2 linked regions of the Diceros bicornis minor genome follow. Each later gene encodes a partner of the first gene's protein in a complex. Links are inferred from orthologs where the notes say so. Each region holds a gene or a part of one and is shown in the gene's direction. Other genes may lie near its edges.

The links.
Region 2: the proteins of SYMPK (region 1) and SSU72 are in contact, whole or in part, in a crystal structure (PDB 4H3K), measured with the Homo sapiens proteins. The link is inferred for Diceros bicornis minor from reciprocal best matches to the Homo sapiens genes SYMPK and SSU72. Residues at the interface, in NP_004810.2 of Homo sapiens: Val123, Lys127, Leu131, Gln135, Asp175, Asn176, Asp177, Gly178, Thr181, His182, Lys185, Glu188, Pro204, Arg205, Arg206, Gln207, Ser250, Ile251, Thr254, Thr255, Asn262, Ala290, Ser292, Gln293, Ser295, Ser296, Lys299, Asn300, Leu303, His304; in NP_054907.1 of Homo sapiens: Glu113, Tyr116, Asp117, Val120, Asn124, Glu127, Gln128, Glu129, Thr130, Cys131, Gln132, Pro133, His135, Asp167, Glu169, Asn170, Asp173, Gln177, Glu180, Thr186, Phe187, Leu188, His189, Thr190, Val191, Phe193.

The regions. Positions count from the first base shown.
Region 1 is NC_080773.1:20,034,401-20,049,109, reverse strand, and holds the start of SYMPK (symplekin), read left to right. Parts: upstream 1-8,924; 5' UTR 8,925-8,999; intron 9,000-12,470; 5' UTR 12,471-12,489; coding exon 12,490-12,594; intron 12,595-12,748; coding exon 12,749-12,814; intron 12,815-14,153; coding exon 14,154-14,207; intron 14,208-14,300; coding exon 14,301-14,374; intron 14,375-14,709. Other genes in the region: FOXA3 (hepatocyte nuclear factor 3-gamma), read right to left, coding at 1,998-2,978, 7,868-7,936. UniProt on the Homo sapiens protein: Scaffold protein that functions as a component of a multimolecular complex involved in histone mRNA 3'-end processing. Specific component of the tight junction (TJ) plaque, but might not be an exclusively junctional component. May have a house-keeping rule.
Region 2 is NC_080752.1:22,445,190-22,460,086, reverse strand, and holds the start of SSU72 (RNA polymerase II subunit A C-terminal domain phosphatase SSU72), read left to right. Parts: upstream 1-8,186; 5' UTR 8,187-8,373; coding exon 8,374-8,453; intron 8,454-14,897. UniProt on the Homo sapiens protein: Protein phosphatase that catalyzes the dephosphorylation of the C-terminal domain of RNA polymerase II. Plays a role in RNA processing and termination. Plays a role in pre-mRNA polyadenylation via its interaction with SYMPK.

The DNA.
Region 1 (14,709 bases):
TGGATAAACAGCCTTCAGTCTTTGAATGAAGGAATGAAGGAATGAATGAGTGGCTAGAGAGCCAACGACCAAGAAACACAAATGGAAAATAAGGAAAAGATCAGACAACCCTGCCCGCCTGCTCCAGCCTGGCTGAATGCCTTGGCCCAGTCCCTTCCCATTCTGGGCCTCAGTTTCTACTCTGTGAAATGAGCGGCGTGAAGTACCCAGTTGTGTTTCTGAGAGAGCCATGTCCTCAGAACATCTGAGCGACAGACATCAGATCCAGAGACTAGGCACAGAGACACCCAAACCCAGTGGCCGAAGGGGGACCCAGCTCCTTCCCCACACACCCACCTGCAAAAATGACGGACACACACCAGGGCCAGCAGACTCCCCGCACAACAGTGACAGGCACACAGCAAAGACAGGCGTAATGCGCAAACACGGACATACTTTCTCTTAGACGCTGACTCACAGAGATACACATGAAACACACAGTAACAGGCAGACCCGCAACACTGATGTAGTCACATGCAGACCCTTTGAGGCAGGGGGTGTGCAGACAAACTGTTACAGAGACACACATCTAAGAGTGTGAGACCCAGAGGGCCCCAGGGATAGGTGGACAAAGAGAACCACACACTCACAACAATAAATACACATGCACGAATCTGATACCCCTAGACACCCACAGTGAGCACACACCCAGAGATGAACAGATGCACAAACCCACACAATTGAGGGATACAAACAATAGATAATAACACCCTGAGGCAGACCACAGGGACCTCAATAGGCAGGGTGATATCCTGTGACCCACAGAGGCGCACGCGCACACTCACAGATAAGACCAACACACAGTCTCCTTCAATTAACACCTAGTTTGTCCCTTCTCCTCCTCCCTAGCTTAACCAAAACTTGAGCAGCCTCTGGGCTCCCTGAGCCTCAGAGCTAGAGGTGTGTGTCTAGGGAGTGGGGGTGGGGAGATGGCCTTGGTCACTGCAGAGCCACCTCCCCCTGCTGCCCTGGCCCCACCGCTGCGGGGGCTGCTATCTGTGAGCAAACTGTCCTTGGGATCACGGACAGCAAAGAGCCAAAGGTTAGGTCGATGCCTCCCCTAAGCCCTCCCCTAGGGCAGCCAGCTCTTGGGGGCAGGAAGGAGAGGGGACAGGGAACAGCAATTCAGGTGTTCAAGCCCCACAGGGCCCACCGGCCAAGGAAAAGAGACATTCAGTAAGAGGCAGAATTGGTGCCTTTAATGGTCAAACACAGCCAGTATCCCACTTCCCAGGCAAGAACCAGACTTCAGTAGAAATTCCCCACACCCTAACCAGTCCTTTCTGGCTTCTCCTGGACCAAACGGGGTAATGGGCTCCAGACAAAACCAAGGAGGATTCTCATCTCCATCCCTCACTCAAATCACACCAAAGAGACAGTAACGATATGGCCAACACAGGGGCTGTAGTGGCCGTCACAGTGCACAATGGTACACTGGTTATGTCAGCCAGCCAAGATGGTGGCCATCGTAGCACTCAGTGGGCCAAAAAAGAGGTTATGCAAGGTGGTGGCCAACTTGACACCTTCTATGCCAAGAAGTCCACCAAAAAAGAAATGATCACAGCACCCAATGGGCCAAAGAAGATGTAATTGAAATGGTATCACCATCACACTCAAAGGGTCAGCCAAGAGAATGTCCATCACAGTGCCCAAAGGGCCAACCAAGATGTCATCCCAGATGGTGGCCATCAGAGCACCCAATGGATCAACCAATAACATCGATCAACATGGCAGTCTTCGCAGTACCCAGTGGGCCCACCAAGATGTCAATGGCAGTTATCACAGTACCCAATGGATCGACACGACGCCCACAGAGACGGCAGTCACCACAGTAGGTAATAGACCAACCTAGATGTTAACTGATGGGACAAGCAAAGTGTCACCAGAAGGATCAGGCCCCAAGAGCCTGATGGTGTGAGCTGCAGCCATACCCCACCCACCATGCTCCCACCCCCCTGCTAGGACGCATTAAGCAGAGAGCGGGAATAGAGGCCCTGGTAGTAGACTCCAGGCTCCCCACCCTCTGCCCCGTAGCCCCCAAACCCCACGTCCAGTTTGGGAGGCGCCGGTGTCTGTTCCGACATCAGGTTGTTGATGGAGAAAGGGTGGTTGAAGTTGTAAGGCGCATCCAGCTTCAGCTCCCCTGGGAGCTCCAGGCCAGTGAAATAGGGGGCGGAGGAAGGGGGCGAGCCACAGTCCAGAGCCCCCACATCTTCCCCACCCTGGGCCTCAGGCTCGGGGGCTGGAGGCTGGGGGGGAGAGGTGACCGTGGCAGCAGGCGTGGTGGTTGAGGCGGCAGACCCCGCCGCACCATTCCTGGAGGTGGAGGTCCCGCCACCCCCTTTCTTCACCTTCTCCTCCAGCTTGAATCGCTTCTGGCGGCGCAGGTAGCAGCCATTCTCAAACATGTTACCTGAGCTGGGGTGCAAGGCCCAGTAGGAGCCCTTGCCCGGCTTGTCTGGGGAGCGCGCCACCTTGACGAAGCAGTCGTTGAAAGACAGCGAGTGGCGGATGGAATTCTGCCAGCGCTGCTGGTTCTCCCGGTAGTAGGGGAAGAGGTCCATGATCCACTGGTAGATCTCGCTCAGGGTCAGCATCTTGCCCGGCGCCTGCTGGATGGCCATGGTGATGAGCGAGATGTAGGAATATGGCGGCTTGGCATGTGCCAGGGGCCGCCGGTACCCTTTCGGCATCTCCTTCCCATGCGCCAGCCCCGGTCCCGGGCCCCCGTACCCTGAGCTGCTTCCTCCACCACTGCTGGCACCCAGGCCCGGGAAGGTGGGCCCCAGGGGTGTGGCAGGGGCTGGGGGCGCTAGGGGTCCTGAGGGCAGTGGGGAGGCAGGGAGCCCCCCAGGAGGGTAGGGAGAGCTCAGAGGGTTCAAGGTCATGTAGGAGTTGAGGGGGGCCATGGTGGGCACTGGGGTCACCGGAGAGAAGACCTGCAGGGAGAGAAAGAGAGATGGGGGCGGTCAGTGAGTCTCCATTCTGCTGGTCAACAAAGGGTTGCTGGACCCACGGCATGTCCTTCTGTCTGTCTGTCTGTCCTCCCTTGTCTATGAGACGGTGCTATCCTTACCTCTCTCTGTAGATAGCTGTCTCTTTAAGTCTCTCTCTTCCCCCTCCTCATGTACCCCCTCCCTGACCCCATCCCCACCCCCCGACGCTCCCATATACTGGAGCTCACACTTTCAGCGGTTCTCAAAGTGTGGTCCAGGACACTCTGGGGAGTCTCCAAGGCCCTTTTAGGGTATCATGAGGCGAAAATTATTTTCATAATCATGCTAAGATATTATTGGCCTTTTTCACTCTCTTTCTGAGTGTACAGTGGAGTTTTCCAGAGGCCCCAGGGACATGTGACAGTGCAACAGACAGAATGTAGCAGGAGCTACAAGAAGCCAGCTGTCTTCCACTGAACCAGACACTAAGGAGATTTGCAAAAATGTAACAGTGCCACTCCTCTCACTAAATGTTTTGAAATATAATTATTTTAATAAAAATACATGATTTATACTAACAAATTGTTGCTATTTTAAAATGAATTAATACATATTTTTTAAATTTCTCAGCTTTAATTTCTAATGTAACTATTGATAGACATAACCCACATCAACGAAAACCATGTGGGGTCCTCAATAATTTTTTGAGTGTAAAGAGATCCTGAGACCAAAAAAAAAAAAAAAAAAATTGAGACGACCTGATTTACCTAATAATCTAATCTATATGTGTAGCTTTCTATGAATCTTTTAGGTTATAAAATTATAGTTTTTATAGGTCGAAAATGTTTGAATATCAGAAATCACGTTTCAACCTAATATATATCATCTATTTGGTATATATCATCCAATCTAAGATATCACTTAAGCTGCAGTATTATTTTAAGTATCAATGAGAATGGAAAAAAAACTGTCAATTATAATCGCTAGACACCATTGACTCTAAAACCCATTCCATTTTCAGAAAGTTCAAATGGGGAAAAAACTTGCGTCTTAGCTCAATGAAATATGATAGACATTGCTATGGCTCTCTAAATAACCCTCTATATACTCTTGCACCCATTCAACAAATATTTATTGGCCACCTACTCTGTGCCAGGCACTGCTCCAAGCACTTCACAGGAAGTCTCCTTTCAGCCTTACAACGGCGCTGGGGGGAGACGGGATTATGACGCCCATTTTACAGATGAGCAAGCTGAGGCCCAGAGAGGTTGTCTGGGGTCACACAGCAAGGAAGGGGCAGAACCGGGATTCTGAATCCAGGCAGTCTGGCTCCAGATCCGTGTTCTGGATTATGCTATACAAGCAGGAACCAAGACGGACTGCAACATCTGTCCCCATGGAGATGATAGTCCAGTGGGAAATGAACAAGATAAGCAAGGGAAAATATGATGCGTGGTGGACGGTGATTTCTCTCTTTCTGTGTGTATCTACCCCTTTCATCCACCGTCTTCCATCCTCTCTCCCTCAATGCTCCATCTGCCTGGCTGCCCTGCTCCCTCCCTCCCCCTGCCCCCCCCCCCCCCCCCCCGCCCCGGGGTCTCCCAGCACTGGGGTTGCTGCTGTAGCTCCGGCGGGAGCCACCTTTGCTATGAGTCCATGGGTCCCTGTCTTGTCCCCTGTCACGTAAGTGTCTGCAGGTCCCAAGGTCCAGAGAGAAAAGGGAATTACCAGGGTCACTCACGAAGTCAGGGACAGGTGGCAACCAACCTAGGTCTGAGTTCCAATCAGAAACTCTCCCCTCTTTCTTTACGTGTCTCCAGGTAGCTCTTTTCTCCCATGTCTCTTTGAATCTCCCTGTTGGCTCTGTGTGTCTCTGTCCATCTTTCTCCCTGCCTCAGTACGTCTACACCCCTCCCTCTCCCACTCCCCATGTCCATTTCCCCAACCCCCCGCTGCCCCACTGTCTTTGCCTTTCCCACTCTCTTTCTCCTCTCCATGCTCCCTCCCTTTATATCTCCCTCTCCTCCCTGCTGTCTCCCCCTGTCTCTCCCTCATCTCTCCCCCTTCTGCCTTTCTCTCTTTGTGACTCTCCCCAACCCCATCTCTCTCCCCTGTCCTCTCCCCTCCCAACCTGTCTCTCCCATCTCTGTCTCCCTCCCTTGGCACTATCTTTCCCTCTGTCTCTCTCTACCCCACTCCTCTCCCACCTCCCATCTCTCTTTCTCCTTCAGCTCATCCTTGTATCTAGCTGTCTCCTTCCCTCAGCACCACCATCTCACCAGAAGTCTCACATGGAAATTGGAGCCCCAGCTACTCCCCTGCCCGCATGCACCGGTCTCCCCCGGGGTTGGCTGGTTCTGCCCCCTCCCCAGAATATGGAAAGAGGGTCCTTCAGAGATGAGAGGAGAAGGTGATGGACTCAGATGGTGATGGACCCCACTTCTCCAGCTCAGTCAGACTCTCTTGTATCACAGAGGAGGACAGACTGGGACCCCAGGGCCCTCCTTTTCTGGCTCCCCACCCACCCGGAAGTCCTCCTTGAGGTCTGACCTCAAGCACTCCAGCTGCCCTAATCCACCCTAGGCTTTCCCACGCCCCGGGGCTGGGATGAACCCCCAGTGTCCGGGTGTGAGCCGGATCTCCCCCGCCAGGGTGGGGTGAGATGGGGGAAGCCCTCAGGGGACCTGCACCCCCACCCCAGGAGGCTGGAATTTCTCCCCTTTCATTTCCTTATTGTCTCTGGAGGAGGGTGTGACAGGGAGCAGAGGGAGGCAGTGTGAAGCCAGAAGCCTAGTTTCTAGTCCCAGTCCCAGCCCAGGACCTCAAGCAGCCCCCAACACTCTAAGAGGCTTCAGACTTTCCATCTCTAAAATGTGGGAGCAGTTGAACCAGCTGATCTGTGAGATCCAGAGGCCAATGGGGTCACCCCAGGGTGATAACTTCCCAATTTCCTTCCAGACAGAGAGCCAGCCTGCGGGGGTCAACATCATCCTAGCAGGAGGGTGTGGTGGGCAAGAAGCAGTTTAGGGGCCCTCTCAGTTTTCTGTTGCTGAGTGAGCCCAGATGTTTCTCTTCCCATTGGTCTGACCCAAGGGGAGGAGATGGCTCGGCTGATGAGAAAGCTGGGGAGACCCTCAGACGGTATTTCCATTTCCAGCCCCCCATATGCTGACTCTTCCAAAATATGCCCCCAAATGCTGATCATCTCTAGACTGTCCCTCCATTTCTGACACAATTTCCACACCAATTGTCCCCTAAACTTCAGACTGTGCCCCAAATAATGACTTCTCCATCCTAGACCCCCACAATCTACTTCTGAAGATGTGCCTCCAAAACAGATTTGTGGTTGGTTCCCTTAAATCATGTCCCCAGAGTCTGAACTCTCTGGGGGTAAACCCAGTGGGATCCCCCACTACCTAAGAGCCTCCACGTCCAAGCTGGTCTCTGCCTTCCCCACCAAACAACTGACACCTCCAGCCGCCCCACCTCCACCTCTCAACAGTCCCAATCCCTTCCCTGGCCAGCCTGCCCCACCCCACGTGCACCTCACACCTCTGCAGCCCCAGGACTGGCCCCTCCTGGGCACCTTGCCAAGTTCTGAAGGCCTGGGGATCCAGGAGTCCCACCCTACAGCTTCAAACCCCAGACCCAGGACTCAGGCACACTGGGGCCCCTGTAACTTCCAGATCTCAGTCTCCTTGGAGAACTCAACCATTCCAGCCCCACACCCCCACTGAAGCCCGCAGTCTCCTTCCAGGTTAGGAACCCAAGTGTCCAGACCCCCATAAGCCTCTGACTAGGACTCTGCCCCTCTCTCCACTTCGCAATGTTGACTATGGAGACAGTGAGCTAAGGAGAAGGAGTCCTTGCAGTAAGAGGAATGGGAGTTAGACTTAGAGAAGGACTTGCTGTTTGCTGAAGTGAGGGGACTAAGATATACTCCCGCCCCCTTACTCCAGGGTGGCCTTGTCTGAGATGAGACTGCTGAGGACATTAGCAATTACTGGAGATTGCTGGAAGGAGGGGGGTAGGTGCGAAATCTGAAACCCTCCAGCCTCCAACAAGTAGAATTCCTGCTGAGGGTCTCTAATAACCATTAAACCACTGAAGTTCAGTTGGGAGGGGTGAGGGTCCTAAGTAGCCATGGGGGGAAATGGAGATTGATCCCTCTCTGGCCAGTGCTATTGCTCACATCTCCTGCTCTCAGGTTCGCAATTCTGACCCCACTTGGGCCCCTACCTATGTGAACCCCAAACCAACCCACCTGTTATTTCAGACTCCCCAAGGCAAGCTTCTTCTCTGAGCATCCCCATCTCTTATCCCCGAGCACCAACCTCAATTTCTGAACTTATCTTAGATTGCTACCCGGATCCTTAGCCCTGAACCCTAATTCTGATTTCTACCTCAGAACCCCCACCTTTAACACTATATTCTAACCCTGAGCTCCCAAGTCAGACTTCCCTTAATGGTGACCTCTCTCTCCTATCTCTTAGTTCCCGTCTTTCCCCCCAATTTTGAATCCCATTTCCTAATCCTCCAGCTCTGTCCCCTGTCCTGGAGCTCTGATTCCTATCTTTGATTTGTTCATTTTAATTCCTTGGATTTTAGGTCCCTAACACCCAACCCTGACGTTTAAGCTCTGACATGACCGTTGCCTAAATTTTCCTGACTCCCATTTAAGCCCTCACGCGGACTAGCCTACCTAAACCGCGCTCGCGTGCCTTGTCCCCCGTCCCTGACTCCTACACCTGGTCTTCGTGTCTCTAGTTCCTCCGCTCCTAAACTCTAGTTGGGGCCCCCATTTGAGCCCACACCGCGGTCCTTGCCCCCACATAAGCCCGCACCCCGATTCCTGCCCCCCATTTCCCGCTCAGCCATCCCCGAGGACACACCTCGCCCGCCTCCGGGTAGTAGCTCCATTCGGCCAGGTCATGGGCCTCCATCTTCACCGAGCCCAGCATCCCCCGGGCCTGCGCCCCCCCCCGCCCCCGCTCCGGCCCGGGGGGACCGAACGCTTCGGATCTCTCAGCCGGCACGGCCCGAGTTCTGACCGGGGCACGCCCGTCTGACCGCCCGGGGTCCCAGCCGTCCCGGGCTCCGCGGGAGGCGGCCACGCTTTATAGCCGGGACACCCCCCCGCCCTCACCCGCCCCGGGCTCCCCTCCCGCCTCCCCGAGGGCGGCGCGCTCGGACTGGGGCGCCCCCTGCGGGATTGCGAAGAGATAGACCTCAGGCGTCGGGAGCCGCAGCCCAGGGACGCGAGAGCCGGAGATGGCAGAAGAGTGAGGGAGCTACTGGTGGGAGACACTACTGATGCTAAGGGCCCCGAGGGCAGAACTCTGGGGCCCTTCTACCCCAGGGGGTTTCATCATCTCGACAGGAGAAGCGAATAGCCAGAGCGCGGCATGACCGCCGCGGAGGAAAGGGGGCTCAGAGCGCAGTGCACTCCAGGGATCCGGATATGCCAGTATAAGGACCAGTAAGAGACCCTCGAAACCATATTCTCATTGATCGCACTGGAAGACTGAAGCTTCCGACAGCTAGAAATGCTCCAGACTGTGTAAATGGTCAGGACCAAAGGTGGATGGGATCGGGGCCTCTGCTCAGATCCCAGTGGGGCAACAGACCACCTCCAAGACCTAGGAGCTTCGCCGCCCGAACTCGCCACTCCCTCTAACGCCAGCCGTCCAGGGACTGAGAACCTCTGTGAACTCCATTTCCCAGAAGCCTCTAGCTCCCTTTCCGTCCCGCGCCTCCGCCAAGGGACTACATTTCCCAGAAGGGATGGCGTCAGGAGGCCGGAAATGAAGAGCCGCCCGGGAGTAGTCTGGGGGAGGGCGGAAAGCCACTCGAGAGGCGTGAGGGAGGGGCGGGGTCGGGCCGCGGTGTGGACTGCATTTCCCGGCGACCCTTGTGTGTGCGGCGCGTGCGCAGTGTCACGGCGGCGAACGGAAGATGGCGGCGGCGGCGTCTGTGAAGAGGCGCTGCTGAGGGGGCGCGAGGGGTACGGAGGCCGGAGCTGCGGTGAGCGGGGGGGCGGCGTGGGGGCCCGGCGACGAAAGGAAGAGGGACCCTGAAGCGGCAGGGGCGCCGGTCGGGGGTTGGGGGCGCTGTGAAGAGGGGAGCAGTGACGTTCGGGACCTCACTGTCTTCCCCTGCTCAGGACCCTCCCGTGGCTGCCCAGTGGCCTCAGGCAAAGTTCCAACGTGGCCCCCGAGGCGCGTCCGCCCCGCCGGCCTCGACTCTGCCTCTTTGCTCCTTCCCCACTTCGCACAGCTGCACTGGCCTTCCGGTTCCTCAAACTCGCCTTGCGCCTTCCCGCCTCAGCCTTTTGCACACGCTGTCTCCCTTTTACCCATTCCGCCTGGCTGACTCCCATTCATCTCTCGGGTCTTGGCACCGACGTCACTTCCTCTGCGAGGCCCTCCTTTCCCGCCCTCCGTCCCGAAATCCGCAGGCTGAACGCTCTCATAGGTCCCTGTTCCTCTCCTTCATGTCACGTGTGGTCTGGTTTGTTATTGGACCTGTATTGGTGCGGCTGTTTGATCGTGTCTGTGACCGTGAGCTCCACGGGGGCAGGGACTGGGTGGGTGCTGGTCACACCGAAGACACCCAGTTAGTGTTCGTTGAATGAATGAAAGATCCTCCTGGGGCCGCTCTGTGTAAAAGAGGGAGTCGTCATACTCCCAGGTGGGAGTGGGGGAGTGGTACTCCATAAGGAGTGCACGGGAGAGAAAGGAAACAATCATGTTGCTGATAGCAAACGACTGCAGACTCCTCGAATGTTCTTTAATAGAGACACTGGCAGGAAGAAACTGATGACATGCACATAATAAAGTAAAATATAAATAAAATGAGAGAGGAGGGAAAAAGGAATGAGGAAAATCTCTATACACTGATATAGAGAGTGGGCTCCAGCATATATTAAGTGAAAACAAATGAAATGGAAGACAGTGTTTATTCTGTGCTGCCTTTTTACAAAAAAAAAAAGGAAAGTATGTGTATGTTTAAAAAGAATAAAAGGATAAGCCAAAAAGTGGAAGAGGAAGGACAGAGAGTAAAACATTTTGGTGGATCTCAAAGTATTATCATCATGAAAAGAGTGGAAAGTTTCGTCGTGAAAGCTTCATTCTGTTCTGATGGGGGACAGCAGTATGCTGGTGTCGGGTGGATGTGCCCCTTGGCTTCCATGAACAGACCTGGGGTGGAGAAGCACTTCCTTTCAGAGAGGCGTACAGCAGAGTGTTGAAGAGGATAGATTCTGCGCCCATAGTGCTGGTCTGCATCTTACAATCTATGAGCCTTCGGTCAAGTGACTTTACCTCCCTGGCCTTCAAATTTCTTTGTCTGTTAAATGGAGGTTAAAAATAGTACCTGCCTCCAGCCAGCCCCAATGGCCTAGTGGTTAAGTTTGGTGCCCTCTGTGTTGGCAGCCCAGGTTCAGTTCCGGGCGTGGACCTACACTGCTCTGTCAGCAGCTATGCTGTGCTGGTGGCCCACATGCTGAAAAATAGAGGAAGATTGGCACAGATGTTAGCTCAGGGCGAATCTTCCTCAACAACAACAACAAAAAATAGTACCTGCCTCAAAGAGTCGGTGTTGGGGAGGGAGAGGAAATTGAAATTTGAAGTAGGGTCATCAGGGAATACCTCTCTGCTGGGATATTTGAGTTGAGACCTGAAGGAAATGCGGAAGGAGGGAGCTGTGCCAGTATCTGGGGCGAGGAGTATTCCAGGCAGAAGGAAGAGAAGGACAAAGGCTTTGAGGAGTGGGCATGCTTGGCATGTTCAGGGGACAAGAAGGAGGCCAGAGTGGCTGGAGCAGAGAAAGCTGGGAAGGAAATGAGGGCAGAGGTAAAAGGGGCCAGATCATATAAGGTCTTGTAGGCTTATAGTGGGGACATTGGTTTTGACCCTAAGCAAGATGTGGGGGTGAGTGGCAGCAGGGAGACTAGGAAGGAGGCTGTTGGATAGTCATTCATTCAGCAGACATCTGGTGAGTAACTCTTGTATACATTACATCATGGTCCTTTTGAAAGATGCATCTTCTTACCCTCCTCAAATTATTGTTAACAGTTTGTGCAGTATCCTTCAGATCTTTTCTGTGTACATAAAAATAGTAGCTATACTTACCTCACGTTCCTAACTCATCTACCCCTCAGAAGAGTCCTGGGATGGAAAGACTGTTCCTATCTCTTTTACAGAAGAGGAAACTGAGACCCCACTGTTTCTTGCCTTAGGTCATTCTGCGTATACTACACAAACTTGACAAAATTGCATATATTTTTCTGTGGTGCAGCAGGCTGTCGGGACATCTTTTTATGATGATAATACATTGAGATCCACCAAACTTTTTTTTACCCTTTCCTCCCATTTCTGCCTTTTGGTTTATCCTTTCAGTTCTTTTCTTTTTTTAACATGTATACATATTTCCGTTTCTTTTGCAAAAAAGGAGAATACAGAAAACGTCTTCCACTTTGCTTGTTTTCACTTAATATTTGCTGGAGCCCACTGTTTATCAGTGTGGAGAGATCTTCCTCATTCTTTTTTCCCCCCTCCCTCATTCCTTTTTACAGTCGCATGGTATTTTATTATGTGGATATATCATGGTTTTCCAACCAATCTCCCTATTTAAGAACATTTGGGTTCTGATAGTCTTTTGCTATTAGGAATAGTGCTGTAGTTGATAGCCTTCTTATTTCATAATTTTGCCAGTGTGGCTTTGGGACAGATGCCCAGAAGTCTCCCCCCTCCTTTTTAAAAACAACTCCGTGGGCCGGCCCCGTGGCTTAGCGGTTAAGTGCACGCGCTCCAAGTGCACGCGCTCCGCTGCTGGCAGCCCGGGTTCGGATCCCGGGCGCGCACCGCTTCTCCGGCCATGCTGGGGCTGCGTCCCACATACAGCAACTGGAAGGATATGCAGCTGTGACATACAACTATCTACTGCGGCTTTGGGGGGAAAAAATAAATAAATAAAATCTTTAAAAAAAAAAAAAAACAACTCCATAATATTCCAGAAAATGGCTGAAACATAACTTACTTAACTAGGCCTTTTCTGACATATTGAGTAGTTACTGTGTGCAGGACTTTGACTGGTGTTGCTCAGAGCTTTGCTTTATAAAAGCTTGCTCTGGTGTCAGTCCAGAGTGCAGCCCAGATGGAGAGACAGGAAGCTCTGAGACCAGGGAGTTGGCTGCTGTGTGTTCATTTGTTCAGTCATTCAGCAGATGTGTGTGGTCAGCCCGTTATGTGTAAAGTTCTGGAAGTGCGGCTTGGTGCTCCACGAGGTACTGCCTTTGACCCGGGAGACATTAGTCTCCCCCAGATTTACAACCCTCATGTACACATACAGTCTGAGACACACCATGCGAGGGTGTGCTTCAGAAGACCAGCAGGGACAGGACAGGCTGGAAAGGAGGGTTGAGCCCTTTGCAATGGTGGGGTGAAGGTCCAGCCCATCACAGGGGCCCAAAGCTTGATCTCTCCTCTTCTCCAGGGACTACCCAACGGCAGCCATGGCGGGCAGCAGTGGGGACAGCGTCACTCGCCGGAGTGTGGCATCACAGTTTTTCACACAAGAGGAGGGGCCTGGCATCGATGGCATGACCACCTCAGAGAGAGTGAGCGTGAAGAGAAGGGCTTGGAGTGGGGAGGCACAGCCCCTGTCTTTGGGCAATGCCCCCCCCACCCCCACCCCCGGTGTCAGAGCACAGGAAGTATGAAGGGGCTGGGCTGGCAAGGCTTGCACCATCATCTGCCTCTTCCTCCTTCCAGGTGGTGGATCTCCTGAACCAGGCAGCGCTGATCACCAATGATTCAAAGATCACAGTGCTCAAACAGGTGAGGAGACAGGGTGATGCTGGGCTCAGCAGGGCAAGGGGAGGGGGGATGGAAATCTGAGAAAGAAGACATGGTAACAACACTAGTGTCCACATTTAAGCACTTAGGATATGCCAGCGTAGTGCAGTGCAGCACAGGCATGCTCTCATTTAATTTTCACAGAATCTCTGTGAGGCAGGGTAATTGCATTCCCATTTTATACAGAAAGAAGCCGAGTCTCAGAGCTTAAAAACTTAGTCCAGGGTCACTCAGCTAGGGGCTGGCTGAACCAGGACTTGAATGCTGGGTTCCAGGTGGAAATCCTATGCTCTTCATCCTTGTATTTCCTCTCTGCCAGGGTCCTGTCTGATGGGGAAGACAGGTCACTGGACAGTGAGGGCCCAGAGTAGGCAGGGCTGGCATGGAGGAGCCCATAGAGGGCTCCTGACCCAGCCTAGGGGGTGGGGAGTCAGGGAGGGCTTTCTGGAAGAGGGGACATCTGAGCTGAGACCTGGAGGATGAGGAGAGAAGCAGGCCAAGTAAGAGAGGGAGAGCATCTTGAGCAGAGGGCACACTAGCCTGTGCAAAGACAAAAGAAGACAAGGGGAATTGGGGGCCCTGGGTGTGGTTCAGAACAGGAGGCAGGTGGAGTTCAGAGGTTGCAGGGTCAGGTTGCCTGGGTGAGAACCTCGGTTCTGCTACTTGCTCAGCACGTGGCCTTGGGTTAGCCGACTCCACCTCAGCAGTAGAGCGGGGTACTGATAGGGCCTCCCTCGTGGGGTGGCTGTGAGGGCCATTCAACACCAGCACTGTGGGTCATAGGAGCCAGGCCTGTGCTGGCACTGGGCTTATCGGAGAATGTCTGTGGGAAGGGCTTATTCCAGAGAGCCTGGAGGGGCTCAGGAAGCAGCTTCTTACTGTCATAAAATGCTTTCTGAATTGTGGCAGTGTGAATGGGGCATAGAAGCAGGAGGAGAGTGGGGAGAATTGATGGGCAGGTGAAAGGAGACCCTCCTCAGGCAGGTGGGAGGCCTGCAGCCCTTCCCTCTTTCCTTTAGCCCACTTCTGTATCAGGGACCCATTATCCACCAGGACCTGCGCCTTGTAGAATTTTCTTATTGAAGCCTCTCAGCGGCCCTATGAGTTCGTCTTTAAGATCCCCATTTTATAGAACAGCAAACTGAGGCTCAGGGGAGCTGCTTGCCCAGGCCATGGGGCAGGGAGTGGCAGAGCCAAGATTTGAACTGAGTTTATCTGCTGCTGACCTCCATGCTATTTTCCCCTACACACTCCTGTCGGCACTGGTTAGACCCTGGTTTTATGAGTGTATTCCTCCTCCCCATCCCCAATCTCCTTCCAGGTTCAGGAGCTGATCATCAACAAAGATCCCACACTACTGGACAACTTCCTGGATGTGAGTGACCGACGGGAGAGTAGGAGTGTGGGTGTACGGTAAGGGGATGGATCCTGGTACAGCCCTGACCCACCTTTCTCCTGATGTTGGCAGGAAATCATCGCTTTCCAAGCAGACAAGTCGATTGAAGTGCGCAAGTTTGTCATCGGCTTCATCGAGGAGGCATGGTATGGGGCAGCGCAAGGAGCCCCTGGGCACACCCCTGGTGGAGTCGGTGGCGTCTTCAGCTCCTGGCCTGGCCCTGCCCTCCACTTCCCAGGCCCCTTCTCCCTGCCATGCACGCTGACTGCCCAGCAAATACTTAATAAGGTCAAAAGCTTGGGCTCATCCATGATTCCTCTACTTCCACACTTCACATCTGCATCATCAGTAAGGACTGTCGGCTCTACCTTCAGAATGTGAACGGCACCTGACCATTTTTTAGCCACTTCCCTTGCTATTTTGCTGGTCCAAACCATCGTTACCTCCTGCCTAGATGACTTCAGTGGCCTTCTGCATGGCT
Region 2 (14,897 bases), on another chromosome or scaffold:
ATCTTTGCCATGACTTGAGGTGCTCTCTGGGCCAAGACCCCCAGGGCTACGTCCCCAGCCTGACCCTCCTCCAGCTCCAGGCACGTGGCCCTTGAAATTCTCACTGTCTTGGCTTCTGTGTGCAAAATAGAACTCCGACTCCCTGCTCACCCCCCAAACCTCATCCAGACCTGATCCGCAGCACATGTTCCTCGTTTAGCCAACGGGAATAATCCACAATCGTTCTGTGAACGTGTGCTGAATGCCCCCGCGTGGCCAGCTCTGGGGACCCAGCAGTGACACCAGGATGCAGGATACGGGATACAGACCTGCCTGCCCAGGCCCCTCCCCACGGCCCCCGGCAGCTGCTTGCTCCTCTGGTCTCAGGCCACTTTGGAGAAGCCAGTTTACTCAGCGCTGGCTGGGTGGCGGGGTGGGGTGACATGACACCAAGTGCAGCAGGCAGGATCAAGGGCAGATAGAGGAGACATTTCTCTCCGGGATTGTGGGGCTGGCGTTTCCCTGGTGATCTCAGGGTGGGGGCAGGGCTGTTGGGCAGGGCGGGGCATAGCCAGGGAGCTGCTGGAGACCCTGACCTGGGGGATGAGTAATTTGGCTACTTCAGCCTGAGTCTAGACCTGGGTCCCTGACACCCAGAGCCTCCTGCAACCACGTCTCTGGAGACTGGCTGAGTGCCCTTGGGGAGCGCTGGCTGAGAGGGGGCAGTGTGGTCCATTCCAGGGAGGGGGACTGGCTCCACCTCTGAAGGCAGGAGTGTCGGAGCTACTCACTACCTCTTTCTTTTAAGGAGTCATTGGTGCAGCTCGTTCCCCAGGTTTTCCCCCGGTTAATTTTCTTTTAGAAATCTATCCTTTTTTTTTTTTAACTTTATTTATTTATTTTTGCCCACAAAGCCCCAGTAGATAGTTGTACGTGACAGTTGCACATCCTTCTAGTTGCTGTATGTGGGACACGGCCTCAGCGTGGCCGGAGAAGCAGTGCGTTGGTGCGCGCCCGGGATCCGAACCCGGGCCGCCAGTAGCGGCGCGTGCGCACTTAACCACTAAGCCACGGGGCCGGCCCTTATCCTTTTTTTTTTTTTAATATTTTATTTATTTATTTTTCCCCCCCAAAGCCCCAGCAGATTGTCGTTTGTCACAGTTGCACATCCCTCCAGTCGCTGCATGTGGGACGCGGCCCCAGCGCGGCCGGAGAAGCGGTGCATCGCTGCTCACCCGGGATCCAAACCCCGGGCCGCCAGCAGCAGAGTGCGCGTACCCAACCGCCAAGCCACGGGGCCAGCCCTGCCCTTATCTTTTTATTTCTAAGTTGTATCAGCAGTCTTCAAATCTTCATTTTTTCCAATGATCTTAGTAAAGCTTTTTTCCCCGTGTCTGTTGCAAGGTGTTCTTTCACAACTTTTATCATCTTCTAACTCCATTTAGCTTGTGATGAAATGCTCAGTTTTTCTCTTTTTTCTGGCATGCCTTCTTTATCTGCAGGGATGTTATATGCTTCTTATTCTGTTTTTCCCTTGGTATGTCTGTGTGTGATTCAGTGGCTTCAACTGGTCACACATAACCGAGCTGGGCCTCCCTACTCAAGGGTGGGGAGTAGGGGGCGAGACAGCTCCCTCATGCCTGCCCCAGCTCTGCCGTCATCTGTGTTCAATAAGCAGCCTGTTCTTCCCCTCCCCCGCTGTTATCTGGACTGTTTCCTTCCTTTGCGCCTGGCAGCTCTATCCGTCTGCTCAATTTGGATTCTGGTCCAACAGGTTCTTCCCACGCCCACCCGTCTTCCTCATCCTGTCTTCCTCATCGGCTCGGACTCAGAGGTGTCCTCATTATGGCCATTTTTTTTTTTTTTATTTTTTTGGTGAGGAAGATCAGCCCTGAGCTAACAGCCACGCCAACCTTTTTTTGCTGAGGAAGACTGGCCCTGGGCTAACATCTGTGCCTATCTTCCTCCACTTTATGTGGGACGCCACCACAGCATGGCCTGACAAGCGGTGCGTCGGTGCACGCCCGGGATCTGAACCTGGGCCGCCAGCAGGCACTTAACCGCTACGCCACGGGGCCAGCCCTGTGTATGGCCACTTTCTAATTTACGTCGGTTGTGCTGTTGACTTTCTGTTTTTATTTTTCCTCAACACCATGTCCTTGAGGTTTATCAATGGTGCAGTATGCAAAAATGTTTTTCTTTTTGTGAGGAAGATTGTCCCTGAGCTACATCTGTACCAATCTTCCTCTATTTTGTATGTGGGACGCCGCCACAGCATGGTTGATGAGTGGTGCATAGGTCTGCACCCTGGATCCGAACCCTTGAACCTCGGGCCACCGAAGCAGAGTGCGGGAACTTAAGCACTACACCACAGGGCCGGCCCCTATTTCATCATTTCTGTCCGTCACATGCGGTTTCTAGTGCATGCAGCCGCCATCGTCACTTGCCCTGGCCCCTGGGAAGAACTCGGGGAGCTGCAGTGTTTCCGTGAAAACCCTCCCACCCTCCTCAGGGGCCTGTGCAAGAACCTCTTGGTGAGGGACAGGGGTCTCAGGGACATGAGACTGAATTTCGCCAGCATTGTCCATTTGTTCCTAACGGCTGAAGCAGTTAACACTCCTGCCAGCAGTGCAGGTGGGTTTTTATTTCCCTGATTTCTCACCAACACTGTATCATCCAATTTTCTAGCTTCTGCCAATCTGATGGCTGCGTAACCCAATTTTAACTGAATTTGCTTTCTTCTGATTACTGGAGAGATTGCGCATCACTATTCTTATTAGTCATTTCAATTTCCCCTGTACGCACTGCTTATTCATATTCTTTGTACTTTTTTTTTTCTTTTTTGGTGAGGAAGATTGGCCCTGAGCTAATATCTGTGCTATCTCTTTTGTATGCGGGATGCTGCCACAGCATGGCTTGATGGGTGGTATGTAGGTCTGCGCCTGGGATCTGAACCTGTGAACCCCAGGCCGCTTAAGTGAGAGCACGTGAACTTAACCACTACGCCACTGGGCTGGCCCCTATACATTTTTCCATTGCTTTTTCCTCTTGATTTTCAAGAGTTCCACAAATATTCTAGATCAGCACTGTTCCACAGGACTTTCTGAAATTATGGAAGTGTTCATCTGTGCTTTATTAGTTTCCTAGGGCTGCTGTAACATATTACCACAAACTGAGGGGCTTAAAGCAACAGAAACGTACTCTCTCTCAGTTCTGGAGACTTGACGTCTGAAATCAAGGTGTCATCAGGATTGGTTCCTCATGAAGACTCTGAGGGAAAATTGGTTTCATGCCTCTCTCCAGCTTCTGGTGTTGCCAGCAATCTTTGGGGTTCTTTGGCTTGTGGATGCTCCAGTCTCCAAAGACGCCTGTCATGTGGCTTTCTCCTCTCTGAATGTCTCCTCCTTGTCTCTGTGTGCGAATTTCCTTCTCCTTTCTCTTATAAAGACACTACTCACGGGCCGGCCCTGCGGCTTAGCAGTTAAGTGCGCGCGCTCCACTACTGGTGGCCCGGGTGCGGATCCCAGGTGCGCACCAATACACCACTTCTCCGGCCATGCTGAGGCCGTGTCCCACATACAGCAACTAGAAGGATGTGCAGCTATGACATACAACTATCTACTGGGGCTTTGGGGAGAAAAAAGGAGGAGGATTGGCAACAGATGTTAGCTCTTCCTCAGCAAAAAGAGGAGGATTAGCAGGGATGTTAGCTCAGGGCTGATCTTCCTCTCACACACACACACACACACACAAAAAGACACCACTCACTGGATTATCGCTTTCATTCATTATGACCTCATCTTAATTTGATTACATGTGCAAAGACTCTATTTCCAAATAAGGTCACATTCACAGGTACTGAGGGTTAGGACTTCAACGTATTCTTTCAGTGAACTGCAAAAGAGTTCCTAGACCCAATTTCTGTGTGTGTGTGCGCGCGTACGCGCATACCCTTCCCCACACCAACAAGCAGTTCTGGGACATCAGCAGGGTATCTGAGAATTCAACTCAATTCTGACACTAGAAGGTACCCAGAGATAGAGTAAGATTCCACAGCAAGAGGGCTCAGTCCCACAAGACTGCCCTCCACTTCAGACGCGAGTCGCAAGCCCAGGTTGTTGCCTGTGCTTCTGACCAACTGGCTGTATAAATCAAAGGTTTGCATGACCCCCTTCTTTGCTAGAACAGCTCACAAAACTCAAGAAAATGGCTGACAAAACTTGTACTAGATTACCGATTTATTACGAAGGACATTAAAGGATAGGAATCAACAGCCAGATGAAGAGATACACAGAGCGAAGTCCTGAACAAAGGAGCTTCTGTAATTGACCACCAACTGTTGATTCAACATCAAGCCCCACCCGTCTTCCCCAGAAACTAGGGGGTGGGACTGCAAGTTCCAACCCTCTGATCACGGCTGGTTCCCCTGGCAACCAGCCCCTACCCTTGGGTGGGGTACAAAAGTCACCTCATTAACATAAGACACCTTTACCACTCTCGACACTGAGGAAATTCCAAGGGTTTTGGGAGCTGTGAGCCAGGAACTGTGGATGAAGACTAAATATGTATGAGAAATATATTTTGGTCATCTGAATGACCAAATTTCTTATAAATCACAATATCACACAAACAATTCAATCCACAGTAGACACTAGTCTACTAGTCAGTGGCTACTGACTAGTCATATGTGGATACTGAGGACTTGAAATGTTGCTAGTGTAACTGAGAAACTGCATTTTTAATTTTAATTAAACTACAGTTTAAATAGCCATATATGTTTAGCGGGTACTGTATTGAACAGCACAGTTCTAGACACTTATCTTTGATCATTTTGGATGTTGCAAAAATTTTCTCCTATGCTGTTAACAGTCAGTAGTGTCCTTTGTTGAAACGAAATCCTTACTTTTGATGATATCAGACCTATCATTTTTTCCTAGATGTTGTATGCATCTAGGTCTTAAGCATTTGGTCCTAAGCATGCATTTGGTCTTAAGCAATCCTTGCACACCCAAAGAATATAAATATATTTCCCTACTTTTTTTCGATTGGCTTTCTGATTTTACCTTTCATATTTATGCCTTTAATCTATCTAGAGTTTACCTTTATATATGGTGTGAGGTGAGGATCCAACTTTTTATATCCATACACTGAGCCAATTTTCCCAACCCAGCCTACAGAAACAATCCCTCCTTTTCCAGTACGTGGTACCCCATATCGTATACCACATTCCCATATATACGTGGGTCTGCTTATGGGCTATTGTATTGCCTATTGTTTGTCTTTTCCTACAACGGTACTACATGATCTTTATTATTATAATCTCGATAAATCTTAATATCTGTAGGGTGAGTTTCCACATTTTACTCTTTTTCAAGTTGACTTAGTGAGACTCTGAACTAACACGGGACCAGAATTACTCTTCCACCTGAGACAACTAAAAAGCTATCCAAGATGTGTGCAACAACAGTTCTAAGTATACTGGCCATAATGCAACGAACAGCCATGACCCCTGAGAGAAAGGAAACAAACGAGTTGAGTCTTATGACTGCTCCAGCTTACTGCCTGGAGAGTTTTCAGGATGTGGAGCAAGAAGGGGGATTCAGGCAGGGCCCAGTGGTCTCCCTGAGTTGAGAGAATGGATCTGGGAGGCCAAGATGGCTAGAGCTCACAGGGCAGAAAGAGGACATAGCTTAGGACTGTCTAGTGTATGTGTGTGAGGAAAATATGAGGCCAAGAAAAGAGCCAACCAAAAGGATTAGAGGGGAAACTCCCCAGAGTTCAAGCTGGGCCAGGAGCAGTGCCTCCACCAACCAGCCAGCGAGCAAACTCACTCTCTGGGGACTTCAATTACACATGTATCGGCTGCTTGAAGTTGCCCCACAGCTCAGTGATGCTCTGTTCATTTTTTTCATCCTTTTTTTGTTTCACTTTTCTGTCTCATTTATAATTTCTACTTGTATGTCTTCAATGTCATTAACCTTCTCTTCTGCAATGTCTAATCTATCATTAATCCCATCCAGGGTATTTTTCATATCAGATATTTTAGCACAATCCAGAAAAGAACAAACTGATAAATTGTACTTTATCAAACTTAAGAACTTTATCAAACTTGTCCTTTGAAAGACACTGATCAGAGAATAAGACAAGCCAAAGACAGGGAGAAAATATTTACAAATTGCATATCTGGTGTACGTGTGTGTGTGTATATATGTGTCTAGATATTTATCAAGATATATATACATCCATCAGTGAGTGCCGCCACAGGGACATCAGTTCTAAATACATTGGATGTAAGGCAGTGAAGACATCTTGGCTGGAAATGGAGGCCTTAGCCCTTTAGAGCTCAGAGTCTGTGAATGTGGTGAGGCAGAGGAGCACAGAGTGCTAAAATAAATGTGCAGAGCCACAAGAGCAAGTTGAATGTGGCGTCAGGAGCACAAAAAGGCCAGAGGGAGAAGAGGGAGGAAGGAGGAAGCTCTTGAAGTTGGTGGCATCTATCTGAATCTCAATGACTGGACTAAGACTTGAGGTGTGGGGCAGCACATGCAGAGGTAAAAAGGCAGAGGACAGTTTTCAGTTGCTGGTCCATTAAGTTCTAAACAGGATGCAGGGAGAGGTGAGGTACTGTCAGGCCACAATGCCTTTGAATTCGGGTTAATTGAGCACACTTGAGAAGCCATGGAGGGGTTTTGTTTTCAAAATGTAAATAGTTTTATTATTTGTTGTCAATGTAAAAGAAAATACAAAGTAAAAAAAACCAAAAAAAAAAAAGTAAAAATGTTCATAGAAGTATAAAGGGCATTCAAAGCACCTTTAATCCCACTATCCATAAATACCTGCTGTCTCACTTCCACATTGTGGTGTGTGTCCTCTTGGATTCACATTCTGCATACATTCAAATATACAGAAGCCAGGTGGGAAAGCTGCCCTCGGTCCTCCTCCATTCATCCCTCAAACCCCCAAGTCTTTCCAAGTAAATGCTTCCTTGTTGCAGCCATGCACTGTCCTCCCCCACCCTCATCATGCCCAGAGGTCCTTCAAGATTCCGAGCGCCTGGTTCTCAGCCTTTTTCTCCACGAAGACATCACGAGCAACAAGAAGACACCAGTCTCAGTGAGGGTGGTCCCTCACCACCCTGGCTTCTGAGTTTCTTACCTCCTCTCCAAAAGGGAGACTGACTTCCACCCGTGCCTATGGTCACACCTCGCCTACAGGTATTCAAAGAGTAGCCACTTCCACATCCTGTTTCAAGCATCCTAGTCTACCACCGCCTCACTCTAGTGACATTTCTTCCACTCCACTGGAACTCCAACTCGGCGCGCATCGTGCCTTTCCACTAACGCCATCCTCGCATGTCCTTATCCCTCACGTCACCCACTTCTGAATCCATGGCAGGAAATCGCAATTCCCTTGCCCCCTACCCTTTGTTGCGCTCCCACTCCAAGCCTGCATCCAGGCGGCTAGACAACAAAACCGTGTTGACTAATTTCACTGTCGTAGCATGTCCCCAAATCTCAAGCCCGCAGCCCTCCTAACAAACCCCAGGACCTGGTCAGTTTGCTCTCCCACCGCACGAGGTCTCCACGGGTCCCCTCCTCGCATCACCTCCGCTGCCTTTCTAATCCTCTCTCCACACACTTTCAAAACCTCATTTAAATGTTGAACTTCGCGGTTTGCAGCGGAGAGCGGTGTGCTGACGTCTGTGTGAGCCCGGGGACTGGGTGGTGAGAGGCCGTGGCGGTCGTTCTAGGGGCGGCGCAGGGGTTCGGACTAGAGGCAGGGGCACGCAAGGAGCGACACGGGGGGTCCCAGGGACAGGCTGAGACTGAGCGCAGCGCAGACCCAGGGAGGCAGCGCCTGGGCGGCAGGAGAGAGAACCACGGGCCCCACGGGGACGGAGGGGGCGCGCAGAGCCGTCCCGGGAGACGCCGGGTCGCGAACAGCCATCTCCCACCACCGTCCCCGCGGGCCCGGCGACGACGCGGAACGTTCAGGACGTCACAGCCTCCGGCGCGGCGCCTTACGCGTCACTCCCGGCGACTGGGGCCGGGCCTTGTGACGTCAGGACGCCGGCGCGGGGCGCTGGGCTGGCAGGCCGCCCCTGTGCGGAGCGCAGGCCTCGACCGCGCACGCCAGAGCAGCATCGTCCCCGCCGGCCGGCACCCTGGGACCGAGTCCCGCCGTTCGCGGCCCGGCGCTCTGGGCCGGGGCGGGGAGGCCGCCGGCACGCCGTGCACACGCCCGCGCCGCGCGTCCCGACGCGCTACGTGGCCGGCGGCGCCGCTTCCGCGTCATGACTTCCGGGTGCCGCGGCCGCCATCTTGCTCGCGCGGAAGCGCCGCGGCTGGGTGGGAGTCCCGGAGCGGGAGAGTCGCGGACGGTGCGGCCGCCGCCATGCCGTCGTCGCCGCTGCGGGTGGCGGTGGTGTGCTCAAGCAACCAGAACCGGAGCATGGAGGCGCACAACATCCTCAGGTAGTGGGGCCTCCGCCCTGGCCCAGCGCGCCCCGTCGGACGCCGGCCGACCGGCCGTCCTTCCGCCCGCTCCTGGCCCGTGCTGAGCGGCGGCGGCCCGGGCTCCTGGCTCCCGGACCCCGGCCCCTGCTGGGCGGCGGCGGCCCCGGCTCCTGGCCCCTCAGGCCTGAAGCCGGCGGCCGGGCGGCGGCCCCTGAAGGACGCCAGAGGGGCCGCGCCGCATCCGGTCTCGTTGGCCTCGGGGCCGAGCGCAGCGAGGAGTCGACAAGGCTCGGTCGGCCGCGCGGTGTCCTCACGTGTGTTTAGCGTCGCGGGAAAATTGAGGTTCTGAGCTGAAATTTCCCGCGTCGCGGAAACTTCAAAGCTCCCAGTAAGCCCGAAATGCTGATGCTGGTTGGTCCCCTTTGCACTCATGCTTTGCGTTGGGCCTTCTGTGAAATACTTCTCGGTGAGGCGGGAAGTGCCAAGGCCAAGGTGAGGGTCTACAAGATGATAGTGTCCGCCCCCTGCGTCCCCAGGGCGTGTCGGTTACCAGATCTGCTGGAAAACTCGAACAACGTAAGCTCAGGATAGAACGAGGCTTAGATAAACGGAAATGGCCTATTTTGTTAACTTCATGACTTTGTATTTGCTCCTATCTACATTTTAAAGCCTCATACAAAAAAATCCTCCCTACCCACTTGAAAGCGTTCGGTAATTTCTGGAATCCACGTGAGTGCGGTTTCGCGCTCCTAGTTTATATTTCAGTACTAACTCCTCTTTTGTGACCCTGGCGTTGTATGTGTTGAATAAAATTTTATTCCTGTTTGATATAGTTTGTTCGTTCAAAATCACTTTACCAAATGTGAAATTGACCGCTTGCATTACAGTGTAAATTAGGTATACATGTTAACTGAGAGAGTAAAAGTTGAAAGTGCCTCTTCTCCCGAAGTTTCCATACGTGGACATTAAAAGACAACAATGCCTCGCTGTCTTGCTGCCCTAGTTCAGCTTTGACGCCTCGCTAACTTGGGGAAATTAGTATTTCCACACGCCTCTCGTTTCTTAACGAAGCTGGTAGTGTCGGGTGTCCACAATCTGCTAATTATGAGTTTTAATTCTTCCAAACATCTACCACGCTGTCCACAGTATTCGCTTAATGTCACGTTTTGGTGGAGTGTCCTGTGCTTCGACCGTAACAAATTAACGTGAAGGTTGTTTTTAACCTAAAATTTTTTATATTGTAATGTTTTAAAATTAGAAACGTGCTAGAATTACACTGTGCTAGGTCTAATCCCCAAACCGCATTTATCTCTTCAGAGTCATTAAAGTTTGGTAAATTTAAGCAAAAGAATGCAAAGTTTACACTCCTGGAAAATAAAATTTCATATCTTTGGTTAGAATAACAAGAGAACTGGAGACCATCTCCTCCAGCTTGGTGGGGCTGGCATCCTTTGTTTAAGCTCTCCTGCCATATCTGCGTTAGGATGAAACCTTACCAAGGGAGCTGCTTTTTTTTTTTTTTTAATTGATGTTTTAATAGTTTTTAACATTGTGAGATTTTGGGTTGTACATTATTGTTTGTCCATCACCATATATATGTCCCAAGGGAGCTGCTTTTTAATTACCTGTAGCAACTTTGTTAATGAAATCAGACAGTCCTTACAAGATGGCAAGTCCTTGTTTAGTTCCCAGTGGCCTGAGCTGGCCCAGCATTGGGTCTCCTGGTGGGGGGAGGGGGAGGGAGAAGAGCCCCTCCTGGTAATCACCAAGTAGGAGATGTTACTTGTGCTTCTGCCCACTTGACTGTCTTGCACATTTACTCATAAAAAGAGAATGACGGCAAAAGGTAAGTTTAGGGTAACATGTTATTGATATCATGAATGTGAATTTTTTTTGACATGAATCTTTAATTTCTAAAATGCCTATATTTGGGGGATGTTTTTCTTTGTTAAAATAGTAGTATTTGCTTGTAGCAAAGAATTCTTATTGTAGAAAATGCATAGAAGATGAAGAAGATAAAGGTCACTCCAAGTACCATTTTGGGGTAGGTCCTTCTGGATGTTCTGTGTACTCATACACACACTGAAGGGAGACCAGAATACCGTTGTGTCATGTCTCCTCACGTAATGTTGTGAACATAGGTCTGACTTCAATATTCATTTCTTTCTTTCTTTTTTTTTTTTTTTTTTTGTGAGGAAGATCAGCCCTGAGCTAACATCCATGCCAATCCTCCTCTTTTTGCTGAGGAAGACTGGCCCTGGGCTAACATCTGTGCCTATCTTCCCCTGCTTTATATGGGATGCCGCCACAGCACGGCCTGACAAGTGGTAAGTTGGTGCGTACCCCGGATCTGAACCCGGGCCGCCAGCATCGGAGTGCACGCACTTAACCGCTACACCACAGGGCCGGCCCCTCAATATTCATTTCTACTTTCATTTTGATATATTGAATTTGAATACACTACTCACATTGAGTGATAGCAGTGGTTAGAAAACCACAGCACAAGAATCCAGAGGAATCCCGTGGTGGTTAATTTTGTAACCAACACCCCATTGTTAGACATTTGCACCTTGTATTTTTCAGTCTTATGATGTTAACATTCTTGTGCCATATAAATCTTTGCACGCTTTTCTGGTTATTTCTTGGGCATAAATTCCTAGAGATAGAATCACTGAGTCAAAAGGTAGGCGTATTTGACATTTTCATACATTTTGCCAGACTGCCTTCCAGAAAAGTACCTATTTATAGAATTCCCATTTCCTCACAATCTGGGCATTATTTTCATCTTTTCATTCTGCCAGAGCACAAAAAGAGTCTGACCCTTCCTTTAGTTTTAAAATTTCTGTTGAGACTGAACAACTTTTCATGTCATTTTCACTTTTGAAAATTATTCATGGCTTTATCTCTATTGGGATTATTTACAGGATTTAAAAACATTTTTAGGAAATTTGTATGATGGTTTTCTGTTACAGCTAGGAGAGCTTATAAAAGTCAGATTTAGAGACTTCAGCCTTAAAGATGATGTTTGTGAAAAGCGTAGAAAAAGGTATGATAAGTTAAAAAAGCAGGAAAATTGTGTATGCAGTTTGGTTACAACTACACAAAACTGCATGGGAAAGGTTCTGAAATGCAATATCAAAGGGAATGCAGTTAATTGAACCTGCATGGTAGGTAGTGTATCAGTGAGGGCCCCCCCCCTTTGGTCCTATTGAAAATCAGCTTGGACTGTATTTTTCTGGCGTGTCAAATACAAGTAATGTTGGCATTTTCTGGAGCTAGTCATAATGTTCCCTGGAGTGATCATTTTTGATCTTTTGAGACTACGTTATTTTCAAATACCAGTCTGCGGAGTCCTTTAGGATTTTTAGGGGGTGTCAATAGACTGTATGTTTCCACAGGCCTGCTGTTCTTTGTTCTCCATGGATTAAGATTTCCCTTTGGAGCCAGTTAATTTATTTTTTTGTTCCAAACCATCTCCTACATTTTTTTTGTGTGTGTGAGGAAGATCAGCCCTGAGCTAGCATCCATGCCAATCCTCCCCCTTTTTGCTGAGGAAGACCAGCTCTGAGCTAATATCTATTGCCAATCCTCCTCCTTTTTTTTTTCCCCCCAAAACCCCAGTAGATAGTTGTATGTCATAGTTGCACATCCCTCTAGTTGCTGTATGTGGGACGCAGCCTCAGCATGGCCAGAGAAGCAGTGCATCAGTGCGCGCCCGGGATCCGAACCCCAGGCCAGCAGTAGCGGAGCGCGCACTTAACCGCTAAGCCACGGGGCTGGCCCAAGGAAGATATTTTTTTTTTTTTTTTTTAGATTTTATTTATTTATTTTTTCCCCCCAAAGCCCCAGTAGATAGTTGTATGTCATAGCTGCACATCCTTCTAGTTGCTGTATGTGGGACTCGGCCTCAGGATGGACGGAGAAGTGGTGCCTCGGTGCGTGCCCGGGATCCGAACCCGGGCCACCAGCATTGGAGCGCGTGCACTTAACCACCAAGCCACGGGGCCGGCCCGGAAGATATATTTTTAATTGTAGCAATTCAAAACAAATTTTAAGGAAAGTCTTCTGTAAATTCCTGTACTGAATTTTTAGTATGTTTTCAATCATGACTTCCTGGGTGGTGTGATTTTGGCGAGATGAGCAGAGAGGCTGCAAATGTGGAAGAAACAAAGTTAGAGTCCATCTGTTGAGCACTTCTGTGCCAGGGGCTTTCCCAACGCCATCTGATTTCATCCTCACAGCTCTTAGGATGCCCACACTTGTACAGGTGAGGAGACAAGACCTAGAGCAAGAAGCCCCGGCTTCCTGAATGACAGCCAGGATTTGAATACAAGGGGCTCTGGTCATGATGAGTAATAGAACTGAGACTCAAGATGGGAGAAAAGAGGAGCTGAAGAAGGGTCCGAGGTGTGGGGAGTACAGTCAGCTGAGGTCCTGTGATCCTCTGGTTGGGTGGGGCTCTCAAGTCTTAATGTCTTAACCAGATACGTGGGCCCCAAGCCACACTGGGATAGAGGTGCTCAACCTCCACCAGACAGGACCGGGTCTCTGCTCCCTGAGATTGTGCCGTCACACAAACATGCAGGATTTGAACCCAGGCAGCCTGACACAGCACACTCCCAGTCACAGTGCTGAACCCCTCTCTGGTCTTGAAGACCGTCCAAGAAGCTTCTTGTCTTTTGCCAGGGAGGGGTAGTCGGCTGTGCCCTGCAGCGCCTTTGGCTGCATCTTTTTTGTTTGTTTGTTTGTTTGAGGAAGAGGGCCACCTTGGCTAACATCTGTTGCCAATCTTCCTTTTTTTTCTTTTTTCTCCTCAAAGCCCCAGTACATAGTTGTATATCTTAGTTGTAGGTCTTTCTAATTGTTGTATGTGGGATGCTGCCTTAGCATGTCTTGATGAACGGTGAGTAGATCCTTGCCGAGGATCCGAACCAGCGAACCCCAGGCTGCCAAAGCGGAATGGGTGAACATAGCTGCTACAACCCTGGGCCGGCCCTTGCATCTTTGATGTTGTGGTTCTGGGTACATTTGAAGAAAGTGAACTGGAAACCATTTGGGAAGGTGAAAGGATTTGAATCACATCCTTAAGAGAAAGGCAGAGGATGTGGAAGAGGCACTTACAGGGAGACACATTTGCCTTCATAGGATTTAAGGGACTGTGCATTGTGTTCTGTTTTTGTCTTCAGGAGCAGAACTAAGATCAGGAGTATGGTTGGAAGAAGGTAGAGTTCTGTTTGAATGTGAACATTGAGACAGATCTGGGCAGACCAAGCATGGTACCGGCTTCTGCAGCTACAGCTGTCTTCACTGCGTTAGGGATCATCTTCCCCAACCTTTTATAGATGAGAACAAGTGGAGCCCAGCGTGGGGAAGACAGTTCACAGGTTCACACGTGGCTAGTAGCACGTTCTTGCTTAGGACTGCTTAGTGTTGGAGCTGGAAGAACCACATTGATGGTGGTTGTGTTGCTGGGCCATCTGAAGTACCAGATACAGAGGACCTGGTCTGTGCTGGTATTGTGTAGAGGGGGAGACGCTGGGGAGGCTGGCAGTGGCCAGCAGAGCAAGGTGGCCTATGAGAAGCCGGGTTGAGGAAAAGCAGACCTGGAGGAGGGACGTCTGAGCAGGGGTGCTGACGAGCTAAATGTAATGGCCATTTGTCAAGCTCAACACCCAATGATGCTTCATGCTTAGAAGTCTCTCCGTTTTGTTCTTGTCCTTGTGGGAGGATAAGAATGAAATAAATCCTAGAAAATGTTTATCAAGATGTGTTTAGGGCCCACATTTTGCTCGTGATGACATAAATTTTATTGGAATGTTACGATTTCAAAAGAGTTTATCTTCTCAGTTTTTTGGCTGTACCACAGTGAAATTACAGGCAAACATTTAAGTGTGATGGCTTGTGAGCAGGTGATTTGTGTTCTGTAAACGTGGTCATATAGCTGTAGTTGGGCTGGTCAGCAGTGCGTGAGTTTACAGTAAAGGTGACTTAGGATTGTAAGTGCATCGTGTCCCAGTTTTAGACAGGTCATGCTTTCAGAAGGTTGGCATTGGGTCTAGTGTTTCAATCTCAGCCAAAATAATGCCTTAAATTAGATTGATAACCACACTAAAGAAAAGAGAAAAAATACCGTAACTCATGCTGTTAATTTGGCTATTTTCTTATGATTCTTTTTGGTGTTCATTTTAACATTTTTATTTTAGTTTTAGCCATTGGGATAACAATAGAAACAATTCTATTTCCCAAAATTTAACATTTTCTGTTTTTTTTTTTTTTATAATTTTATTTATTTTTTTTTCCCCCAAAGCCCCAGTAGATAGTTGTATGTTATAGCTGCACATCCTTCTAGTTGCTGTACGTGGAACCCGGCCTCAGCATGGCCACAGAAGCGGTGCGTCGGTGCGCGCCCGGGATCCGAACCCGGGCCGCCAGTAGCGGAGCGCGCGCACTTAACCGCTAAGC